Drosophila melanogaster: one gene and its partners. The protein of the gene in region 2 interacts with the protein of the main gene of each other region in a pairwise test. Each region holds a gene or a part of one and is shown on either strand. Other genes may lie near its edges.

Evidence for each region.
Region 1: the proteins of Pex3 (region 2) and CG43732 interact in a two-hybrid assay, tested with the Drosophila melanogaster proteins (one large-scale study listed by BioGRID).
Region 3: the proteins of Pex3 (region 2) and CG2611 interact in a two-hybrid assay, tested with the Drosophila melanogaster proteins (one large-scale study listed by BioGRID).
Region 4: the proteins of Pex3 (region 2) and CG14269 interact in a two-hybrid assay, tested with the Drosophila melanogaster proteins (one large-scale study listed by BioGRID).

What each region holds. Positions count from the first base shown.
Region 1 is NT_033777.3:18,947,445-18,954,670, forward strand, and holds the start of CG43732 (uncharacterized protein), read left to right. Parts: upstream 1-2,751; 5' UTR 2,752-3,159; intron 3,160-7,226. Other genes in the region: CG42613 (uncharacterized protein), read left to right, coding at 1-563.
Region 2 is NT_037436.4:15,141,355-15,148,171, reverse strand, and holds Pex3 (peroxin 3), read right to left. Parts: upstream 3,818-6,817; 5' UTR 3,623-3,817; intron 3,504-3,622; 5' UTR 3,391-3,503; coding exon 2,233-3,390; 3' UTR 1,793-2,232; downstream 1-1,792. Other genes in the region: CG32147 (uncharacterized protein), read left to right, coding at 4,163-4,375, 4,462-4,923; Pdi (protein disulfide isomerase), read left to right, coding at 5,719-5,872.
Region 3 is NT_033779.5:20,647,487-20,652,911, reverse strand, and holds CG2611 (uncharacterized protein), read right to left. Parts: upstream 2,724-5,425; 5' UTR 2,662-2,723; coding exon 2,452-2,661; intron 2,376-2,451; coding exon 2,187-2,375; 3' UTR 2,014-2,186; downstream 1-2,013. Other genes in the region: brun (brunelleschi), read left to right, coding at 27-511, 574-767, 827-1,018, 1,079-1,286, 1,352-1,622; CG18810 (uncharacterized protein), read right to left, coding at 2,973-3,875.
Region 4 is NC_004354.4:3,433,536-3,439,094, forward strand, and holds CG14269 (uncharacterized protein), read right to left. Parts: upstream 2,273-5,559; 5' UTR 2,178-2,272; exon of another isoform or gene 2,128-2,177; 5' UTR 2,126-2,127; coding exon 1,553-2,125; 3' UTR 1,408-1,552; downstream 1-1,407.

The DNA of each region.
Region 1 (7,226 bases), on a different chromosome or scaffold from region 2:
CCACACACAAACACAAAGCGAATCAGAGGCAGCAACAGCAACAACAACAGCAGCAGCAACATTATGCCAGTCAACACTTGCGGCAGCAGCAACATCAGCAACAGGAACAACTGCAACTGCAGCAGCAACAGATGATGTACCAGCCAGCGAATGTCCGCAGTCCTGGACCACAGATGAGAACTCTGACAGCGATAGAGACACCCAGCACAGGATGCGCAATCCTTTGGACGACATTGCTGCAGGCCGCAATGTTGCTGTTCTTCCTGTCGTGCAGCAACAGCAGGACCTGGCTGATACTGCTGCCCCTTTGGTCGCTTCTACAGGGATTTCGGAGCAGGATCGCCTCGCCACGAGCACTTGCCTATCACGCCTATCTTCCAAAGTCAGTCAGGACTCTACGAAACAACAACGAAAGCTCTATCAACACGGCGAAGCCACAAAGGACTACGCTGCTGCGGCTTCAACGACTCCGGCAGTCGGCATCCTTACGGATATGCAAAAGTTTGCACGCTCTATATTTCCGCTGGTTATCATCTTCAATCTGCTGCCTTTATTCTATGCAGGTGAGTACTTTTTATTTACTAGATTCGTTGCAAAGTATTTAACAAGTACATGATGTACCTCATGTTTAATTGTTAAAAATATGGGTTTACTATTAACAGCTGAAGAAGTTTTTCGTCTTCATGAATTTTATGAATTTATTTGAATCCGGACTTATAGTATCTAAATGTAGCCACATCAAACTTTAATGGTTTAGCATGGCACTTTTCCCTTTAAACTTCTGTGAAAGTTGCTGCTGCCCTCCATAGTCCTGCTAAAAAATGTGTAACTCTCAACCAACTCATGTAAAACAATTTTCCTACGTCCTAATTGGCAAGTCTCGAGTGTCCACTAGCTGGCTTTTAGCCTGCCAGTTTTAAAGACCCCACTGAGTGCTCACTGTAGTCGTCGGCTGGGCTGGTAAATAAATAATTGAAACTGTCGAAGAACATTTGCAAATCTGGCCAAACAACAACTGAGCTCATTATTTATGTACGCAGCCAAATATGTATCGACTGCCAAAGGCAATGGAAAAAAATTTAATGACCGGCAAAAGTGAGCGTCCCCCGGCAGGAAGGAAGCAATCCGCTCCGGCACCCCAGTCCCTGCCCCTTTCGGATCTGAGTTATCTCTTTTTCATTTTCGGTTTTTCAAACTCTTTGTGTGACAGTTTTTATATATATATATTTATTTTTTTCTACATTTGAGGGGCTGGTCATTTTTCAGAGCACGCACAAAGGCAAATTTATAACAAAGTTGGGGTCAAACGGGGCTGAGGCCGAGAAGACAATGCGCTAGGCGGTCTTAATTGCTTCCCGGCCGCAAAAACAATAACAGCATATTTCTGGAAGAACCCTTTTCGAGGTCTTTGTTGCTGCCTTGGCAAACTTATTAATTAAACGCGCTCATAATTATTTAAGACCGGCTGCCGCCGGAGCAAATTCAATCTGTGATCATTGCCCCCGATAGGCAGAGCTGCAGTAATCAGAGTTAGAGGAGCAGAATCCCCCCCCTGCTCAGCTGCCTAATGTGGCAGAAGCGAAGGCAAACAAAAGCGGTGCCATTTCAAAAGAAATCAATGACAATTCGTTAAAGTTCCTCCCCGGGGTAACCGCTCTCCAATTTTCCAACCCATCCCACAGAACACTTCCCAGGACATCATCGACATTTGAGCAGCGATTAAAGACAATTGAAGCCGCAGATGCAGAGGCAGCATAAGTCTGCTGCTTTCTTATCAGTTGGCAGAGCTCTCTGGCTTTTCCACTCTCTCCATCGTTATCTCTCTCTTGTGGAAAAGCTCGCGCCTGCGCTGCCAGGCCAACGGTGTTATCATTTGCCAAGAGATTGGCGCTTATCAGTTGGCCAGTGAATGTTTGCTGGGTTATCCCGCCATTGTTTGGCCCAAATAAATCGCTGACTTGGCATGCCGGACGGAGCAGGGAAAGTCAAAGACGCCAGTGCCCCAGGCACAGGTCAAAGTATCTGCGATTCGATGCCTCGGACGAAGAGCAAGAAAAAAAAACAAAAGAACACACTGCCATTTATCTTGGGCGACGTTTTTGCCCTAATGAGATTTGCGCCAAATTAAATGAAATCGAAAATTAGGTGCGCCAAGCTCGTTGGCAATTTAAATTGAAGGCGGCAATTATCCGCACAAACGGCCAAGTCGGACCAAAACGGGAGGAGCATAATGAGCAGAAGCCGAAGTTAAACAAGATTCTCACCTGTCAGCTTTGGCACCACCTGATGGCCTGGCACCTGGAAACCTTCGGGTTTCACCTGAAATCTGCCACCTGCCAGCTGTCTCGAGTGGCGGCTTTGGTTTTGGCTTTGGATGGGCGATTAAAGCGCTCGTCGGCCACTCGAACAAACAGAATCGACGGCTCATTGAGCCGCAGCCAAATGAAATCCGGTGGCAAACAACTTGAAGGATCCACTCGAGAAGGAGGCGGAGGAGGAGGAGGCTGCGCCAAGGAGTCCTGGGGTCCTGAAGTAGAAAAAAGAAGTGCACAAAAACGAAATCATAGATTCAATTTGATTTATTTCGCTGCCGTACTATATTGGCGTTGGACTAACAGCCGTCTCTCGATTCAAATGGCAGAGCTTTCACTTGATGTCATCGCGGCGTGCTCTCTCGCTTTTCCTCCGAATTTTCCTCGCATTTTCCGACTTCACTCTCTGCCTTAAATGCCGTGGCAGCAGCCGAGCGTAGTCAGTCGATTTCAGTCGGCCGTGCGGCACACACACTCGCAACGCGCTTTTCAGCCAGCTCAATTCAGCTCCGGATTCCGCTTGCCACCAGCTTTTGAACGCGTCATTAATCGCATCGTGTGACAGGAGCCTCGAATCAGTTTTCCCAGCAACGCGCGCACTTTTCCCGCTTTTGACCACCGATTAAGGTCTCTTGTTCTTTCCGCCTTATCGCTTCGTCCTGTGCGTTTGCATTTTAATGTTTGCTTAAGCATTCCGTTTCGGTGTCAAAATCCAAAATCCAAAATCCGGCCAAACCAATCCCGGCGATAAGAAAAACCCTGGCCTGGCAAACGGAGAGCTCAACGCGGAATTGTTCGACACAAAAGTGAATTACAAATCAATTGAGAAAGCCCTCGGCAGCGAGACGTAAATATTCAAATGGAAACCGAATTACATATTCTTTTGAAATTGCCTTGGCTATGGTGCACAATTGAGATATTCGGCATTTATAAGATTGTGGAGTGGGCTATTTATGGTGATCAATCGGGGCAAAAGGCTGGGAGGTATTTTGCAGAATCACTTGGTAGGATTAAAGACATTTAAACATCATACTCGCTTAAAATTAAACAATGATGTTTGAAAGTCAGCAAAACCACTGCAATATTTAAGTTATGCCTCTTTTGTGCGCGTATACAATTTTAAATGCAAATGTTTTTTGGCAAACAATTCCAAATAAGAATACCTTAATCATTTATCACGAATGAAATTATTAAATGGAATTCACTTGTATAACAACTAAAATGAAAGTCACTCCGTGCTGTGTATTGAATTATTTATTGCCACACTTACAATGCTGCATTTCCATTTAATATCAACCTATGACACCTATTCCTTTGACCAAACGAGAATGGCCATGTAAATTGATTCTTGGAATCGGTCCACATGCCCATACGATTCACCAAAAAAAAAAAAAAAAATGCTCATTTCAGCAAAATTGGGTTTTATTTGCATTGAGCGAATGTTCCTTCGGATGAGTTCACGTTCAAGCTAACTCGCCATTTTCAAAAGCAAACATACAAATGCGTTATTAGTTCACATGCACAATGGCCATACATTCCTAATCGGTAACCCTGGCTGCTTTTTCTTGGAACGTCCTTAAACAGGAGAGGGCAATCTGGGCAACGAAAGGTTACAAAACGAACTGGAGGCAGACAATTGTTGGGGGATTTACAACATGGCCCTCGTATTGTTTGCAATGCAGCAATAAGTCTGGATAAATGCGGAAAAGACAGAAGAAAAAGGGACGATGGTGATGGCGATGGAAATGTGTCCACGGCAGTTATGACAACTTCTGCTGGGTCTCACCTGTTTCACCTGTTCGCCAGCTGCTTAATTGGAGTCACAGCCAAAGTCCGGGCGAACTTTCCGATTTCCGTTCCTGCAACGCGTGCCACTGACAAGTGACAGCTTCGATTTGAGGCAGGAGTAAACGCATTGCTCATCTTCCAATTCATTTTTTAGATCTGAATATACTCTTGTTTGATCCGAAAAAAAAGGGAAATGATCTGCGAAATAAAATTGTAGTTTTACTAGCAGAAGACGTGTTTTTCCGTTTACACTTTCAGCAAAAGATTAATTGAATTGAATGCAATATTTTTCAAGAGATTTATACTTTGATTTTCAACGAAACGATTTTGTTTAAAAATCGTTATTTTCGTTCACGCTTATTATAAACATGCTAATAACGGCAACCAATTATTCTAACCAATACTCAATATATTTGTAAACATTTTGTAAATTACTTTCCTTTTTAAATTCCGCTCACGTTTCACTATAAGCGATGGTTTATAGTCAGCCTGCCTACCTGAAATTGCAGCTTATTTAATAATTACTCACGAAAATCATTTTCGTAATTGACTATTTCTCACTCCGATGTCTATCCATACAGTCGATCATCAGATGAAAGTGCTTTCCCAGTTTCTTTGCCATATGCAAAGTAGTAAACGTACAAAAAAAAAGTGGGATTCAGTTGCAATTTGCATGCAGTTCGGCAATCGCTGCGAAATTGAAACGTGCCAAATGTGCAAACAGAGGGCCGCAATCGTTTTCCACCTTGTTTGGATAGCCAACCAGGTGATAAGCAAACATAACCCAAAGGGACTCCCGTGAAAAGTCGACTTGCGGGGTTGGCTGGGTTTTAAACTCAACCCTTTTTTCTTTTTCTTCGGCTAAGGTGGGCGGCACTGCCACTAAATCAGGCTACTTCCACCAGGTAATAGAGAGATACAATTTGCTACGTGTGGAAAATGCGAAGAAAGAAGAGACGAGTAACTTTGCAAATAATGTTACCCAGCCACTCGAATGTTTAGGAACCTTTACGCATAAATTATTTATTCATTTGCCGTCGCCGGGTTTTTATATGCATCGTTAAAATTTCTGTTTGGAATCTCAAAGTGAATTTTCGGGTCCGGAGCGAGCACCTTTGACCCGCCCCCCCCCAAAAAAAAAAAAACGGAAATAGGGTTTTTTACGTTGGCTATTTTATAATGAGCTGCACTGGATTCGCTTTCACAGTGCTAACCCGTTGCTCATATGGTTTTCCTTTGCGCCTTTGGTTCCTTGTTCAATTTTCACTTTTGCAAGCGATTTTCCCGACGGCTGCTCACGAGAAAAGCTACGTGCAAAACGGCTTTGAGTGGAGGGTGTGGTCTCCACTTTCGCAGCGAAAGTGTTTATTTATTTCAGTTTGTGTGCTAGAAATAAGTTTTATTTCCGTTTTTTTTACCATTCCGAACCAAAATTATAATAATAACCTGCGGCTGCGGGCCAACGTTGCGTATGAGCGATGTTTTTTCAAACCATATTCCCATTGAAAACGCCGACTCGAAACTAATTAGCGCCCTGTACGCCGAGTTCTTGTTGTTTTGAAGGCTTTCCGCAGCAGCATTGGCTTTTGCCAGTAGAAAGTAGCCAGCGTGTCCACGTCATGTGATATGAGCTGGGAAAATATTGTTAAAAATATGCTGCAACTTTTTCATTACATCAACTTGACGGCTGCGAAGTGAAAACTTTTTAGCAACCAGCAGGAGCAGGCGGAAAAGCGTGGAAAAAGGGGAAAGGCAAGCGGCTTTGCCAGCTGTGGATGCTGTTTCTTTAATTTGTATTTAGTTAGCGGACGATGCTAATGAGTTTGCTGATTAAAGAAGGGATCGTCTTTTGATGTGCCACCTCTGGAATGAAATTTGCACAAGGCTTACCAGCTTTAAGACCTTGTTAACTGGCGAAAAAACAAAAGACATAAATTATTTGGCATGCGATCAAAACCACACTCGCAACCTTTTAGCTGGCATCTCCTGCGTGAAAAAGCTAATACAAACTGGCTGAGCCAATCAATTACGAGTAGTTCCCAAAGTTCAAGTCATTCTCACTTAGCTACAGCCAGTCTATCAATCTTCTAATCAATCTGAACGGAGCAAATAGCCAGCTAAAGTTTCGTCCTTAGCATTATGAATTTATGGACCGTTGGGCAGTCGAGTGAAAACTATGCCGATTTCAATAAAAATCATTAACCGAGCGAGCACTCAAAGGCCGATTTCGATTGAGTTTCTGTGCGGGTGGGCAGAACTTTCCGACACATTAAATATGAATGAAATGCCACGGTAATTAAGCCTAAACACAGAAAGATAAACAAACCGCGAATGGTCGTAAAATGCGATGAGGTGGCGCCAATCGAAATGAACTTCTTTGACCAAACACATTTCCAATCGAATTATAAATAAACAGAGGCTGCCACAATGAAATAAGCGCCGACAGGAAGCCAATTCAAATAGCCCCAGTCAGCCACTGTTTTTCGCCAAATACCTTATTTCCAAATTCCAAATGGAATTGGCATATAGCGAAGGCCTTGGGCCTTATGGCTGATTAGCCAATTTGAATTTTCAATATTTCCCGGAATCTAAACTTCTGTTTGGTAAACGCGTAATATGCCAGCGTTGTTCTGCTTACAAATTCCCATTGTTTCCGCATCCGAAGAAAATGAATTCACTTAGCCAGAAAGATGTGGCTTAAGGCGAGAATTTCATTAATCTTTGTCGCGCGTTCCTTGGCATATTAAAATATCTCTTTTGTGATACGTGAATGCATAAAATGGCAGACAAACGAGAGTGAAGCATCTTTGTGTAAGCTTTAAAAATCTCCCCCATAAAAGCCAACGTGAAACATGCAACAAGCTGGGTCAGGAAGCGGGCCAAAAGAAGGCCACCACCACCCATCAGCTACTGTGTCGAGGCTATACCCACACACTTCCACTGACACACACACACACACACACACTAACAGGCACACATACACACGCCTGCATACGAGTATAAGCCCCATTCATGTGGGTTACAATGAGGGCCAGACGCTTGTCCAAGGAACTAAGACAAAGGATACACAGAAATCAAGTTTAACTGCAGTTGAAGGCGGAAACGTGAGCCTCACACGTACACTGA
Region 2 (6,817 bases):
TCTTATTAATGCTTTCTGCATTTGTTCAACATTTTTCGACGAATAGCGTATTTTCTGATTTTTCAAGATGGATAGACATAAGTGATTGGATTAAGAAAGCCAATTAAATTTGTCAAGAAATAAAAAATAAGAAAAATTGTAATTCGTTTTCGAACCTTTTTTAATTTTATTAGATGTGCATATATACTTTTAACCTTTATTAAAACCTATGCCAGTTGGAAAACTTTTATTTGATCCTTAAGATTTTGAAAAAGCTTTTTGATCCTTTGATTTCATTTAATTAAATTTTTTAGATTTAAAGCCTATACCAAATTCGATACTGTCATGACTTTTTTAAGGGTACTTTGTAGTGCCTTACCATTATTTCTTGAGCACTCGTTTCGAGGAGCTGCCTTTGAGTAGTATTTGATTGTTTCTTCGCAATTAGTTAGTTTGCTCACTTGTGGCCCTGCTAATAATAAAGTGTTGATATTTTTAGACCTTATAAGAGTGGTATTCCCGTTACTGCCGTTACTGCCTTTCCCCCACACCACCGCCTTTGCAGCCCCCTCCCACACCACTGTACGCACGCACTGTCTGTCCCGTTACCAATATACCGCTGTGTCTGTCTTTTTCGCTCACATGTGCTCATGTGGCCTTTTGATTTTCATGTTCAGTTTTCTCTTTGTCTTAATCAATATATTTTGTGGTCGGCTAGTAAAAAGTTGATGGGCTAAGTGGGCTTTTAGCCCCATCGACTGGTTAATAAACATTTTGCAAGTGCACTTACACAATTGAGCCGCCGTTGTTGTTGTTTGTTTGTTTGACGGTGGGCTTTCCTCCTTTAGCTGGCTTTTCCAATTTGTGTACTTTTTGCAGTATTTCTCATATTTGCACACTCGGTTTTAACTTGGCTTCGAATCAGTTATTCAATGCATTTCTTTCATTTTTGTATATTTAATTATTTTTTTTACACCAACACATACGCAAAGTCTCGCAGGGATGTATAAAAGTAACTGTTGTCCTTTGCCTTTTCACGTAACTTTTGCAACTGCGCCCAAAATGGAAATTTTGTACCAGACAGCTGGGCACCCGAAGGAGTAAGAGAGACGGATGTGAAGAGAGAGTCCTGCGAGAGCGAACAAGTCGCAGAGGGGCGAGCGTGATGTAAATGTATCTAATTACTTTCACCTCCTTAAGCATAAACTTGGTTCAATTTATGAAATCTTTTAAGTTACTTTCTGCTTGATAGTTATTCATAATTGTTATATTATAATGAATCTTCGCACATGCGGCATTTCTGCGCAAGTGCTTGAAGAGAGTGAACAAGGGAGAGAGCGGCAAGAACAAGAGAAATGGCAAACAAACAAAAGCCACAGACACAGCTGTCTTATCACAGGGCGGTTTTCTGCCACCCCCTTTTGACTGATAGCAAAGACAACCGTTACTTGTGGGTTGTGTCTTCGATAATTCAATTCTTATATTTTTATACATATTAAGCATTTATAACAAGAGAGAATGCTATAGTCGAGTTCCCCGATTATCAGATAACCGTTGCTCCGTTACTAAATTAATATATTATGTACATTTAAAACCGCAAACTGTTAGAAACTTGGAGGAAAAAGTATATAAGAATCTCGTATATCTCCGACATAATTATTGAATTTATTTCTTATTAATTCAATACAAGTATGCACCTATGTACGCATGTATAATTTATCATTCTATAAATCAATATCTGTTTTAATTAGCTGTAAGAATAAAAAGAATAAGTTCCTTCAAAAACTTTAATATGCAAAATAATAGTCTTTAAATACGGGGAATGCATAGTTTATTAGGTTGCCATTTGTTTACACTTCCTTTAAGATTAAGACCCAAGCTTTCTAGCATGGTATAAATAAATAATCTGTCACTTATCATTCTATTAATCAATTACACTTTAAATTACATTTTCATATAGTTTGGATACTAAACTACCCTCAGGTCCATCCTATATGATTCTCTCATATGTTGCATTTCCTAACTTTCCATTTAGATTAAAAGGCCTTCACGTTACTCGATTTGTGTCCCTGCCCTGAAAGGATTCCCCGTGGACGAAGCTAAACCTAATACGGGTTGGGTTCAAGCAGACATACAAACAATGCTTCTGAGAATACAGATCTTATTAAAAATATACAAGTATATAAACTATAATTTTCCAATTGTCTTAGCCTAGCCTATGCACGGATGCATAATCCAAGTTTTGTTGATCCTCTAAGCGGAGCTAAAGCTTTCGTAGACGTTGGCCCCCAGCGTCTTTGTCTTCTCGGCGACCACGTAGAAGGTTAGCAGTTGGGTGGGCAGATTGTGGGGTCGCGAAGTGGTATCGAAGCCTCTCGAGGTGAGACCACTGATGATAGGAATGAGCTTTGCCAACGCCAACAGCACTCGGTTGATGTTCAGCAAGTTATTGTTCTCCAGACCGTTTTGGCTCTTCGAGGTGCTGGCGCCTAAGCTTCCTGCCTGGTTAAACTTGACGCTCTGTTCTTGCTGCGTTTGGACTTTAGCTTGTGGCAGATGCTGCAAAGTTTCGCCCATGCTTTCGGCGATGGCATCGCAGGCCAGCACAAAACCACGGCTTACATTGTGCGAGCACACGCCAACGGCATCCTCGCTCTCCAACAGATCCAGCGTCTCGTTGACCATCTTTTGCAGCAGCGGCGAATGACTGGGATTCTGGCTGGGCAGCAGATACTTGCTCATTCGCGAGTTGGGATCCCGACGAGTGTCCGCATTGATGGCCATTTGCAGTGACCAAAACAGTTGCTCCAGGTCGCTAAGGGAAAGCTGTTCGGAGAGCGGTATGGTCTTGGTGACTGCGATGACCTGGGTGCGAATGTAACGGGCTAAGTCCCGGATGCCCGAATCCGTGATAAAGTGTCGGATGAGGGAGAGATACTGCTGCTTTAGCTCGTCGGTGACTTGTTTTTGTTCCGTCATGATGTCCCGATAGATGTAGCCACCGAGAAGATTTAGCTGGACCCTCAACGCAATAACCAGCATGGAGGAGGCGTAGACATAGGTTGCCAGTCTTGTGAATGCCACAATTTTCATGTCCTCCCAAAGTTCCAACTTGTTCTTGGGATTCTGGCGCAGCTGCTCGAGCAGCTCGTCCGTGCTGCACTCCCTCAGAACCGCTTGGCACATCTCCTCGCCCATGCCTAGGATCACCTGGTTACACGTCTTCTCCGTCGACTCAAAGTGGGTCGTGCGCCGCGTTCTCTCGAAGAATTCCCTGGCCTGTTTCTCCTGGAACTCCACGAATCGCCGTTGTGCATAACGTGCCGCAAAGATGGTACCGCCCACCAGAACGCCGGTCACTATGAACTTTCGCCGGTGGCGTGACAAGAAGTCCTGCAGGCGCGACAGCATGTTAACGATTGGAAAAGGCCTCTTCTGCCGGATGGACAACTAGAATCCGCTTCCTGTGTGAAATAGGCCAACTGCTGTTCAGATATCCCACTTTTTCCCGCTCCACCGGCGACCTGTTCGAGGTTAATAAATAGTTAATGTGCAAAGTTCACCTGTGTGCGTAGGGTGGTGCGCTGCCGGCGTCGCTGCCAACAGAGGAGCGTCCTCCACTCATCCGCAGCGATTAGATTACCAGGTAGTGCTCACCTATATACCCCTGCTCGGAAACTCGGATCTGGTGCGCCGCCTTATCGGGTCGATTGCTGGCCTTTGGATCGGATCTAGCTCTGGAATGTATGGAATGGATTTATCCTTTGTTGTTGTCGCTAAATGTGTTATTTCTCTGTTTGGTGCCGCATACTGCGTCGTCTGTTTCCGTTCAAGAAAAATCCCAAAAGTGCGAGGTTCGGGAATACCGAAAAATACCATTTCGTTTAGTATATTTGGTGTTACTGTTTAAATTTTTATTGAAAATGGGGATGCTTTTTAGTTATTTATTTTTTCGTTATTTCGAAGTGGGTTCAAAAAAAAATAGAAAATATAAAATAATGTTAATTCACCTATAAATGACGAAAAATAAAAAACTTCGATATGCTCCAATTTCCACCGTTCCGCCATCGTCGCAAACATTTGAAACGCATGATTCAAAGGGTGAAGAAGAAGATAGAAATCATATGGTATTTAAGATAGTTCTGTTGTTGGTGGGGGGTTTAGTTTAGTTGGGGTGTTTGTTATGGCGTCGTCAGATCGAAAGCTCATTGTAGTCTCCGGATTTGGTCCATTTCTCGGTCACGAAGCGGTCAACGCCAGCTGGGAAGCTGTGAAACTGCTGCCGGAAATCCTAACTCACGATGGCATAGAATATGATCTGGAAAAGCGGTTGGTTTCGGTGGAATACGGGGCTGTGGACGAGGCGGTGGCGGAGATTTGGAAACGCCAGCCATATGTAAGCATCGCAATTGAACCATAAATAGATAGAGGCCTTATGATATCATCTTTCTCCCAAAAAAATAAAAAACAAAAAAAAAACAGCTTGTTATCCATGTCGGTGTTTCGGGCGTTGCCAAGTGTGTATACATCGAGAAGCTGGCGTACAATCACAAGTTCCGCCGAGCTGATAATTGTGATAAAAAACTGGCCAACGGCACTTGCGAACTACCCAACAATGGACATGCAAATGTCTTGAAGACCGAATTAGATGTGGATAAGATTGTGGCGGTTGTAAATGAGAATTGCGCCGATTGTGTGGGACCCACACAACAGCCGACACATAATGATAATCTCAAATCCCTGAGCGCCACAAAGGCATCCAAAAATGTGGGTGACTTTCTCTGCGGCTATATCTATCTGAAATCGCTCGATATGGACAGAAAACGAAGCCTGTTTGTCCATGTACCTCCTGTAGATAGGCCATTTAGTAGTGTTAAGACTTCGGAAATACTTTTTAGCATAGTCGAACAATGCATTCAACAGGTGGTCGCTTTTGACTCCTGAATTCCGCAAAATATTCTTCCAATATCTGTCTTTTTAAGAATTATTTACATGTGTGCTGTTAAGTTGTTTAAGAAATGAGTTTTATTCTTTTTAAGATACAATATTTTATATTTACTTTTTATTACAATGAAACAGAGAAGCAATACAACTGCATTAATAATTACACAGTCTTTTTTGCGTTTACACAACACCAGTCTTTATTTTAAAAAGGGTAAATGACATAAAGAGAATGACGTAAGTTATTTAAAATAAAATTTAATAAAAAAAATGAATTAAAAAGAAGAATTATAAGGCCTTTACAAATTGCCTTATGTTAAATACAAGTTAACTTATATACAATACAATACGATACTATTTATATCACAATATTTTAAAATTATGGTATTCGAAAAAACCGTAATATTTAAAAAAAAAATAGTACATTACTGAATTAGTTAAATATAAAAATAAAACTTCAAATATATAAACGAGATCCTAAACTAAAAAAATTTACCTTCGACGATTGCCAACCTTTGGGCACCCAAGCGCCACCTACAGTTCAATGCTCATTCATTGACAAATATCGATATTAGTAAAATTTATCGGAAACTTGTAGAGAAATACCAAAAATCCCTCACCTAATTCAGCTTTATATGTATATATCTCTGCGTTTCACTGTCACTTGAATTCATTTGAATTTCTACTTGCAACCGGGCAAGTTCAGCGCAGTTCGAATCCCAGTTTTGGTTGGCGAGTGTGCTGCACCCACATAGGGCAATAGATTCAATAAATATCAAACGACGACGAGTGCCCGCAATGAAATTCCTGATCTGTGCACTTTTCTTGGCGGCGTCCTACGTGGCCGCTTCCGCCGAGGCGGAGGTCAAAGTTGAGGAGGGTGTTCTGGTGGCGACGGTGGACAACTTCAAGCAGCTGATTGCCGACAACGAGTTCGTGCTGGTCGAGTTCTGTAAGTACATGCTTAGATCGAAAATAAGGCACGAAAATCTCAACAAAATGTGGCAAAAATCGAATATCAAAATGCGAAATGCGCCGGCCGCTAGCGCGCTCTCACTCGCACCCGCTGATTCATGCGGCTTAGCGGCTACGTGGTCTTTCAAAGCGTCGGAGAAAATCTGTCTGCGTGGCAGTTGTTGTTGACTTGAAATCTGGACTATCATGTTGCACGGCAAATCCTAGTTGATCAATGGGCCAACTGACAGACTAGTTCCAATCGGCGGCCTGGAAAATTTGTTTAGTTGATTTTCCAGCAAATTTATCGTTTGTTTAACTGTTTTTATCTCTCTCGCGTCATCTTGTGTTTTTTTTGTGACGGGCAGGGAGGAGCGCGCTCTCTCAAACGCAAGTGCCATCTCTTTTCCGCACCTGTGCACGCAAGCGAGAAGGCCTTATAGCCTTATACTGCAGTACTACTTGTTATTGTTGTCGCCATAAACCTGCTATAATTTTGTATTCTTGCAAATACTAAATGCCAAAGGAAACAATAAGTTGTGCGCAGCATATGCTTTGCGTTTTATCGACATTTCTAGTTATTGTTCTAACACTGCGCCCGTGGGGCGTGGCCACAGCATATCACACATCCGCTTCAATAATCTCCGACTGAGAATATCTAATGGAAACAAAAGGCAACAAAAAGTTGTCGGGCAACTCATCTCTTCTCCTCCCACGAATCTAGGTTAGCCTGAGCAAACCAAACCACTTTTTATTCGCCATTTGCTTTCTCTGGTTCGTTCTGTTTGGATTTTTTGGTTCTAATTCTCACTTACAATCTGGTTTCTGTCCCTTTTTCCACGGCGGCGCAACGGCCATACATTGGAAAGTTCATTCAACTCTTTCTCTGCGTCTTTGCGCGTGCCTAACGGTGTTGCGTCGCCAGTGATGCTCGGCACGAGCA
Region 3 (5,425 bases), on a different chromosome or scaffold from region 2:
GAATAATCAATGATTTTCCTTTGCAGGCCCATTTGCCAGTGCCTCCCCAGGGCACCATTGAAATCATAGTGGATGTTTTTGCCGAAGCGGACTTCGTTTGTCCTCAACCACCTGCTTCATTGCATTCTGCCGCTGCTCCTGGGGACTACGGTGCGTCGTCACTAACGCACTACTCGAGCGTGTCCACCTCTGGGCACGCCAGCTTACCCTCGAGAGTCGGTTCACCGCATCATCGTCGAAATGAGCCACAGAATTCCAGTTTCCGGTCGACCATTTCTGGCGGTCCACCATCGCTGGCTGCCTTAACCCTGCACCCTGGCGGCGGTGGAGGAGTAGGACCTTCCAGCCTTGGGTCACAATATAACCAGCACATAGAGGCGCAAGTTAGATTTAAGTACTCGGGCGGAGATGCTTTGACGGCGGGCTACTGTCGCCAATGTGCGGTGTCCTTTAATCTAGAACTTTTGCCTAGCGTACAGATTACAAGCTGGGATGTGCTTCCCGCAGAGGTGTAAGTGCAATCTTCTCGTTTTTCAAAGTAACTCCTTCTAACATTGTATATCAAATTTACAGAGCCTCCCAATTTTACCTGGTACTTGACATCTCCAACCTAACCGCTCAAGAGATGTCGCTCAACTATACGGACACCAAGAATATACTCATCGAGGCCAAAGAGAGCTGCCGAGTGCCCATACCCGTGGATCGGTGCTCCTTGGAGAAAGTGGTGGCTGCTCGGGCGGCCGAGGTAGCTGAGAATCTGGAGAGGGGTATGATGAATCCCGCTTAATATGAGCTCATTCACTATTTGTGCTTATCTTTTTACTAGAACTCTGCTTCCGGACGCAGCTGCTGTCGTTTAACGATGCTCTGAGTAAGCTCTGCTCAATTCATATAGCTGAAAGGGTGAAAATCAAGTGGCTGTTAACGGGGACGGACATTCAGGGAATCGCCTCACTGCGAGGAATAGTTCTCTCCCAGTCTATGGTGGATTTGACAGCTGTGTCGCCTTTGGAGTGGGGTGTGTTTGTTTAGAATCTTCCTTACCGACTTTGTAATGACAATTGTATTACACCTTTAGCTATCAGCTTTCAAGACACGCTCGTGCAGCCACACAATGAGATTGTATGCACGGTGGGACAGCGGTCGCTGCTAAGCATCCAGCTGGCCAATCAATCCCTGCAACCACTTAGAAATCTGGTGCTGAGCATTAAGTTCTATCAGGATTACCTGAACGGAATGGAAAATTACAATTTGGAGACACGCGTGGCCATTTCAGGACCAAATAGGTGAGAGCTGAAGAAAAATATTGAAACGAAGCAGTTAAATATTTAGACAATATCAACCCTCTTAGAATTGCAATACCACTACTGGAGAAGCAGGAGCAGAAAGAGCATACTTGCTCTGTGATATTCTTTACCCCCGGACGTTTCAAGGCCAGCATCGAATGCACCAGCAATCCGCAGAAGCAGTCGGAGCAGCCGTCGTCATTGCTAACCCGCTCCTGTCCGGCAGAAGCGGAGAGTGTCGGCCAATCGGTCATGTTCTCCTCCAGCTACGATGAGCAGCAGGCGCATGTGTGGAAGTTCATTCCGCCCATCGAGGTGACCGTCGTGGAGCAGTGAAATGTTACCTGTCGCTAGTTTAATTTCGTTACAATGTTTGTGTATGTATTGTGTATACACCCCATACTAATCCCCTACTCTTGTTAAAGTATTTGATTCCCACGCGCCCTGTTATATCCGTAAACACGAAAAGCAATTGTTTGTAAAGAATTCTTACCTACATAGATACAACATGTAACGCATAACACTGTATATAATTAAGCTGAAACACAAAGTTATACTGTGCCCCAAGCTTGATAGAGAAAATGGCCATAACATAAATCATATAACCTATAGTTCATGCCTGTAAAACATATACATATTTAAGCAAGCGATGCGCTATTTAAATAGATAGCCAATGTTCCGCGCACTAGAAGCCACGCCAAGCATTATACATTTTGATAACGAAGCTCGTGTTTAAAAAATATTTTTATACAATTACCGGGGCAATACACATGTATCATAATGAACTACATATTAAGATTGTTGCTAAAGAAATTATGCCAATGAAATGTGTGAATAACTGTAGTGTAAAAGCAATAAACTCTATTTGACGAAACATTTGGTGTCTTTGGTTTCTCCTTTTCAGCCGAGTCTTCGTATCTCGTCCATGGTGAATCCGTTGCGGTTGAGCATTATGCAGAAGAGCACGTACACATAGTAGCTTCCCGGGATGAAGGTCAGTGCCCCGATGATACCCAACGCCCACACCCGATCCGATCGCTCCCGGCTCGTGTCCGTCACCCAGTTTAAGGTGGCAAAGGCGATGCAAACCTGAAGACAAAGACATCAGATCAGAAGTTCGAAGGAACTGTGCATGTATGTGTGGGCACCAGTAATCACTACTCACAATGCCACCGATAAACAGCAAAAGAATGATAATAATGGTCTTCCAAGGCACTGGACCTGGCATCGCCGGTTCCGTCCACTGTTCATTAACGAATCCATCGGTCTCGCATTGGGACTCCACCACCTTGATGTACTCTCCGGAGCCTGCTGGCGCGGAACTCCTGCCCCCTCCATTTAGGCGGTGCCGCGACTCCGAATTGGTGGGCTCCATATGTGGTCTCTACCTACTGGCAGTTGATCTTGACCAGATGCCAATTTCAGACTAAACAAACAAGCATTTTGCGGCAAGTCAATGTTATCAGGAAAACAGCTGACGAGACTGCCAACCTGGGGAAAATCAGCAAGCACAGTAGAGACCAAATAAAACGAAACATACACATATCGCATAATAACACATCCTTAAATATTTAACTTTTTAATTTGGAAAGCTTTCTTGCATGCCTGAACTAATCAAATGAATTCGAATTTTTAATTTTTCATCGCACCGGTAATTTGGAAAACACAGAGAATGCATAAAATTATTTAGCCATCCTTGATGGTTGTTTCTGAGCACCAATCTGCCACACGTTCGTTGTCGGGATCCAGATCAAATCCGTCGTGGTCCAGCTGGCTGGGAACAAATCCGGAGATCCAGGTCCACTTCATTCGCCTGCCCAAGAACGTCTTGAAGTTTCGGCGCAGTTTTCGGTCAAAAGGAATGTTTTGAAGTTCAAAATCATAGCAAAAATAGCCACGAGACCACTGATCATAAGCCACATAGGTAGCTACGCATACCCCGATCCACAGCAGGACGAATACCAGAGTGAACACCAGCTCGTATATATCGGGCAACTTAAAGTAGATTATCCTGATAATAAGCGAGTTAAAATAGGCAGAGTTCGGTGCGGGATGTGTCAGCATAAAGAGCTGGTATCTGCCCCCATGCAGAACGTAAATAAATATCGAAGATGACGTTAGTGAAATCATGCAGCTTAGAAAAAAGTAGATAAGAAAATAGAAAAAGTATCTATAGTTCTCATGACCGATGCAGCAACCAGTAAAGAAGCAGTGATGATCTCGCATCAGGACACAGACGCCACACTTCCTGCAGTGACGTGACCGGGGTGGAGCAAGAATCCCGCACTTGTCGCACTCGTGCCAGTCCTCACTGTGCTGTCCGCGCACCAACTGATTCTTCATAAGCTTGGGATCGATGCTGGGGTCCACCAGGATGCACATGACATAGTTGGACATCACATTCGAAAAGAGGAACAGTCCCAGCAGCAGCTGAAATACGTAACCAGGTGACCAATAATCCGACAACTCCGGCAGAATTATCTCCATTAGAACATAGTATATGGCGGGCAAGCCACATAAAATGAACAAAAATAGGAATTGCTCCAACTTCTCTTTTGGCCATATGTTCTTCAGCGACCGAAACCTCATTATAACGAAAGTGATTTGATCAATTTGTAAAAACTTTACTGCAGATTGCAAAACTGGTTTGGAAAAAGTATTGGTGTGACTTTGAATTAGTTATTCCAGCCTACACGATGTATCAATATTTTTTCTCCCTTTTCCCAACCGTCTCTCAAAAATATTTAAAAAATAAAACTATGGCAAGCTGCATTCTGTTTCTATAAATATAATTTTATTAGATTTTTTACGTCCACTTTTCTGGCATCATGCAAGGGAGCCCTGTAAAATAAATAAAAATTATGCATAAGTATTTAATCATTATTCAGGGGTTACTCTAAATATATATTTTTACAGACAGTTCTAAAGATTTCCTAAAAAAAATATGTGCAAAATTATTTTTCTTTACTTTTGTTTACGGATCATTTTCATAGATTTAATAAATACAAACAAAATTCATGTTGTTTTAAAGAATACCCTTAGTTTCGTTTTTGTATTTGGTATTTTGTTTCCTAGACAATAGCTTAAGACTTGGCCTCAAATACTCCCATATTTATATATACGTACACATAACACTTTAAACTTACAAGTGTGGAAATCCTTCTTACGTAGGGTTTCTGTCAGAGAAATTCGGGTTTCAGCATTATCTAAAAAGAAAGAGTTATTGTAGTGTTGTTGAACATAAAATCACGCAAGCTAACAATATTTTAAAAATCAGATCTACTATCGAGATAAATCAGTCACAGATATCAGACGTCCCTATCTAACGATTTCATCACAAAAAAAAATCATAAATCTTTAGCAATCATTATACTTACAAGTGTGGAAATCATTCTTTCGTCGGTTTTCAGTCAGAAACATCAGTTTTTCTGCATTATCTAAAAAGAAAGAGTTATTGTAGTGTTGTTGAACATAAAATCACGCAAGCTAACAGTATTTTTAAAATCAGATCTACTATCGAGATAAATCAGTCACAGATATCAGACGTCCCTATCTAACGATTTCATCACAAAAAAAAAAAAATCATAAATCTTTAGCAATCATTATACTTACAAGTGTGGAAACCATTCTTTCGTCGGTTTTCAGTCAGAAACATCAGTTTTCTGCATTATATAAAAAGAACGAGTTATTTTAGTGCTGTTGAACATGAAAGCACGTAGGCTAGCAACATTTTTAAAATCAGATCTACTATCGAGATGAATCAGTCACAGTAATCAGTTGTCCCCATCTAACGATTTCATCATGGTTGTGGAGATCTTCTTTCTGTATTATTCTTACCGCGTAAACTTCCCATGCTGGTTGGTCCCAAGAAGTCTCAAAGTGAGACTCTTTGGGTCACAGCTGCCAGGCTGTCAAAGTGAATTGCTCGTTTCTCGTGATCCGCACATCTTTTAGTTACCATATAACTTTCAGCTATTTGACATATCTTTCTCTATTGTATTAAGCAAAATTTTGTTGCGTTTTCTATTAGCCATCGTGCTAATTTAGTTTATTTTTCTTGGAATGGGCAACACGTGGTGCGGCTTTCGGCTGGCATTAAACTGTGACTGCTTCTTCACCACCGTGACAAGAAAGAAGTG
Region 4 (5,559 bases), on a different chromosome or scaffold from region 2:
TACATAACGAAAGATGTCGGTGGCGTTGGCGTCGACCCGCACCGTTGACCGTTTCTTTTTGAACACATTGGCTGGCGCATTCATTAAAGATACATGTGGCGGCAAGTAGGCATATTCAATTTACGCTCATTTGGATTTTGGTATCATAACATGCTCTGAGTATTAACTTTAACTTTTGGGATTGCAATTTGAGGACATTCCAATTCTACTGCTCATTTCTGGCTAGCATCTTTGGTACACTGTTTACAAAAAAAAAAAAACTTTATCTTCGAGGGTATGTCTGGTGCGTATCTCTGGGCCATTTCATTTTGTGGCCTCTGTGTTCCATTTCGCATTCATTAGCTGTATTTCGCATTCGCACTCTTTCCGTCTCTCCAATGTCCGCATTCATTTTGCATGCATCGTTTTTTTTTTTTTTTTTGTTTTTGCTTAACGTATTTTTGCCTTTTTCTTTTCTTTTTTTTTTTTTAATAAACACGCCAATACAACTACGCAAAAGCTGCCGGCAAAAATAAAATGAGAAAAATAAGAGGAGACATTCGCCAATGCCGGCCGGCTTTTTTAACCGACTGAGTCACTCGCTCTGCAGGTTTTTGAACTTGCGCAGTCACATTCGGTGTACAATATTCGTCTCGATGCAATAATATTCTTGGCTTCTATGTTCTTATTGAATTTGTGCGAATTTTGTGATTGGTTTTTTTTGTTGCATTTTTGTAAAAATGGATGTCTGTTGAATACAGCTAGTCCCTTGAAATGCAAATGACGACATGATTAGCGCCAAAGGGGGGGTATATAACCGATCTCCGATCTCCGAACGCTCAGAGCCATCATAAAAACCTGGCAACGGGGTCCCGCAACTGGCAATTAATTAAAATGCATAAATTATTAACCATTCGCCGAGTTCGCAGCTCTTTTCCGCTGTTTTTTGTTGTTTGGTTTTAATGGCCCCGGTATTTTAGCATTTAGCCTACGAGATTGACGCGTCCCGGCTCCCAAAAGTAGGCCACATTTATTTGGTCATGTCCTTGACTCGCTCCCGGAAATACAGACATATGTATTTCCCGGTTCTTATCAACTGGTTGGGATATTATTTTAAATGAATTTTTGATTTTTGCTGGAAGAACAAAATCCATTTATGATCATGCATCTTGGTATTTAAGTGTATATATTAAGAGCACGTCCATCTTAACTCAAGCCTTGTTTTTTCATTTTTTTTTTTTTGGTTTTGAATGGGGATCAGCTCATTTGGCTCATTTGGCGCTCGCCGCTGACGTTGTAAATTGAAGCTAAAATGTTATCCACAGCTGGATCTCTCTGGATCTTTGGATGATGGAGATCGTGTGCTGGCGCTGGCGACAAAAAGGGGCAGACAAAAGAGAGATGTAGACACTTAAGTTTTTTGGTCGTGCTGCGAATGTGACAAAACAATTAATGTTTATTTTTGCATTTTAATTTGCCAACATTAATTGCAAGTTTATTGAGCTGAAAGCCAACGAACCTAACCGCTGGCCTTGAATGCGGATAGGTTATATTCTGGGAGGTCTATTGGTCTTCATTTCGCCGAAAGGGTCATCGTCATCAGTAGGACAAACATGGAGTGGGCCAGTAGGGTGAATTCGGCACCTAATCCCTTCCAGTAGTAGTCGAGAAAAGCGGAACCGTATCGAGCACCAAAAGCGATGGCAGCCAAGATGCCGTACATATTATTCGACTCGTTGACGCCCAAAAAGAGCATGGACACAACGTTGCCCAACAGTGTTAGTTCCTTAAGGGTCTCCGTTACGGTATCCTCGGTGTCAACCACTTTGGCCAACATATCGTAGACTAATGGCACCACAAAACATGTGTGCGCCAAAGCCAAGCCCGGATTGGTGGACTTCAGATACAGCTCCATATTGGTCAGGGGCAGCGGTACTATCTCCATGATGCCCGACGTAATCAATCGCACCCGATTGCATTCGTCATCGTCGTTGCTCGCCGCTCGCACCATTCCCAAAATTCCATGGACCAGGCTCAAGGCCGCTGTTGCATAGCCATAGGGTGTTTCCATTGGATGGAGAGTGTAGATCGCATAGCCGGAACTGACCACCAATAGGCTGTTAAACAATGCGTCCATGACCAGCATAACTAGTTTTCAATTCAATTAGTGCGTTCAAATCTGTTACTCTTCAACTGACCCTTCTGACATAGTTTGTCCCCTCTGATTTTCGATTTTCGATTTTCGAGAGCGACGAAACGAACGAAAAATTTTGAGCTAGTCAACTCGCTTTTAGCCCATTTGACAGAAGTGGCAAAGCTAACCTAACAGCCTGCTAAAAACTTAAGAATCAGCTTGAAGTCATAAGCTATAATGGCTAGATCGCCTAAGATGTCAGTATGATAAGTACATACATAAATATATGGTCTAGTCGGAGCTCTTGCTCGCTCGTCTTCAATGGGCTCGCTGGGATGCGATGAACCAGACCGGTCAACTTCTCATCTGGCTGAGCACAGAGCAGCGAGCACCTAGCCCAATGTCCCCGTTGATTTATGGCATCAAGGGTGGGCAGCTTAATCCGCTCGCATCCACCTGCAATCCACCTGCCGGCGGCAGATGGCTCAAAGTCTCGTGACTCCGGGCCCAAAGTCCAAAGACTTAGGGCCCCAGACGATTGAAAACGGACCGGGGACCACAACCACAAGCTCGCTTTAATTATTAATTTAAATCGCACCGTTTATATGATAAAGACACTGGGACGTGCCGTTGAGCATTAGTGCATGTTGCAAGTGAAGTGGCAAGTGCAACAGCCGAGCCAGGAGCGGATCAGGGGCCAAGTTGCAAGTTCTATCTGTAAAGAGCAATCATTTTGTTTGTTCAATTGCAATTATCAACTTTACTTGTTTTACTTCTATTCTATTTCTATTGATTTGATCATAAAATTCTCACAATCATAACGCTTGAGAATATAAAGTATATATAGTTTTGAAGATATCGGTAGCCCGATTCGCTGAACCGCTCCTCATTTCAACTACACTGAGTGGCGTGACGAAAGTTGTTGCTCGAGTGCCTCCCCCTTTGCAAAACTCGCCGCTGACCCCGGCTACGCCCCTTTTTGGGCCCCCACCTCTGTTCGCACAGACAATATATACATATATATATATATATACATATGACCAGTATGAAGTCTGCAGGCGAGCTCTGCAAGCGTAAAAATATAAAAAGTGCCGCAAGTGCAACAAGTGAAATATGAAAATACGAAAAAAAAAGCCAGAAGTGCAAGTGCAGGCAACTCGGCTCAGACACTCAATTCATAATTAATCAGGCTCTTTTTTCCACTTTCTGTGGCAAGCTTAACACTTCCCCTGGCCACACTGAGCAAAAAAAAAAAACAGTTACATTCGAGTAAAGTATGCAGTGTTGTATAGGGCCTTTTAAATCTGCTTTTTTGCCTTTTGACATTTTCCCTTCGTTACGAATACTGCTCAATGTTGGGAAATTAGAGTCCCGTTTTTTCTAGCAGTGCAGAGACAACCCTCGACCCTCGACGGACTTTCCTGACTGTACGTATGAATACTGCTCAATGTTGGGAAATTAGAGTCCCGTTTTTTCTAGCAGTGCAGAGACAACCCTCGACCCTCGACGGACTTTCCTGACTGTACGCCAAGGTTGAGCGAACATTCGTGATCCGGATCTGGCGGGGAATAGACCGTACCATAAGCAGGCCAGACCATCGCAAAGACGCTCTCCGCAGATTGCAGCTGGCTTTGAGCCCGACTTTTTGGGTTCCGTTCTGGGCCAGTTTACTTTTCACTTGCGGACTTTTTGTGGCTCGTGTGGCAGCCAAGGCGCAAAGGCCTATTGATTTATGGCCAACTCGGCGCCCCGGCTAATCAGCGGCATTTGCATGCAGATCGCAAGTGGATTTTTGGCCAAAATGTTTAATGAGGAACGCACCGAAGACAAAAAAGAAAAAAAAAAAACAGAAAAAAACCTGCGTGGCCAAATATTTTCCGGCTAACAAAACCATACAAAATTGAAACGGGCCAAACAAAAAATCGACAAATGCAAATGAATAGTGAAGTCGAGTAGTAAATACTCTTCTTTTTGTGTCATTATCATTACATAATAATGATCTAATTGCCTTAACAGTTGGGCAATATAATCTTCAACATTCACAAAGACTAGTGAAAATTCGTAGGTATAATTTGTAAATTGCCAAGAATTCTACGAGTTTGTAATCGTCGCAACACAGATACTCCTTTTAATTAGAGTATCTGCAAAGGAGACGCCTCGACCAAATTGATCGCGGCAGTCCACAAAAAAAAAAAAGTGCGTGAGCGATGCGCAAATATTTGGCCGGAGTTTTTGGAAGTGAAATAAATGAAATGAGTTGCGTTTGGGGCTCTCGAGCTGCTTGAAATGCGCGCCAGAAACCCTACGCACTTCATAAATTATTTAACAGCTGCCCTGGCCAATTTCTTGGGCGCTTTTCGAGTTGCTTCCATGTGGGTCTCGTTGATGGTTCAAGGGGGTTTGCGAGGTGCGGTGGCCAGCGGAAGGGGACCAATTTTAATTGCCGGCTACACGACAATGACAACACACCACCGCACGCACTTTTTGGAGGCCGATCATCGAGTCAGAAATCAGAAATCAAGACCCAAAAAAAAAAAAAAAAAATGTGAGCCGCAGCAGCGAATCAGAAATGTGCGAATTTTTGACAAGTGCAAACCGAAGTCGAGGCATGTACAACATGGCTTTGTACACGATTGTCGCCCCGCCTGATTTATGGCCAAGTGGCCCGGACAAGTTTCCAGATCTAAGCGATCCGTGATTCATATACAACATACAGATTGCCTCATTCGGGTGCTGGGATGGGATAATGGGTTTGCCAAGGGAAACACTTACGATAAATACAAAACACTTTTGCGGCCACCAAAAAAAAAAAAAAAAGAAAAAAAGAAGTGTGTCCAAAAAAGCTGAAGATCGACGCTATCAGATGGAATGAATAATTGTGTTAACAGGCTGGTGTAATAATAATGTGACAGGAAATGGTTAATTAATACGTACTAAATTGGCAATGGCAATTGAGTTGGTCATTGGAGCTTTTGGCATTAGTTGAATAATGAAATAGTTGTTCCAAATTGTAGAATGAAATGATTTATTATGAATATTGCAATGAATACAACCATTCCAACCAATTATTTTTTGATCGACTCAATTCATTTAAGTGTATCGTTCGGATTTCTTTCATGTTTGCAGTGATTAAGAATGTTTAATTGACAAAAAAAAAAAGAAAGAACTCTTTCATTTAAATGTCAAGTAGAGCCGGAATCATCCAATGCAAATAATAGAACTGGTTCAAACACACTTCCAAAAATTGTGTGCTTTTGATCGTAATTCATGCTACCTACCAAATATAGTTCTTCATTTCGAACGAGAAGAACATCGTTTCTTGTCAAATTAATCATTCGACTGCTGGAGTAGCATCTTTAATTCAATTCAGTTCCGCATCCCAAATTGGCAGGGGGTGTGGAATCGCCACGATCTTTCGATAAATAGCGCCAGTTCCGAGATCAAAA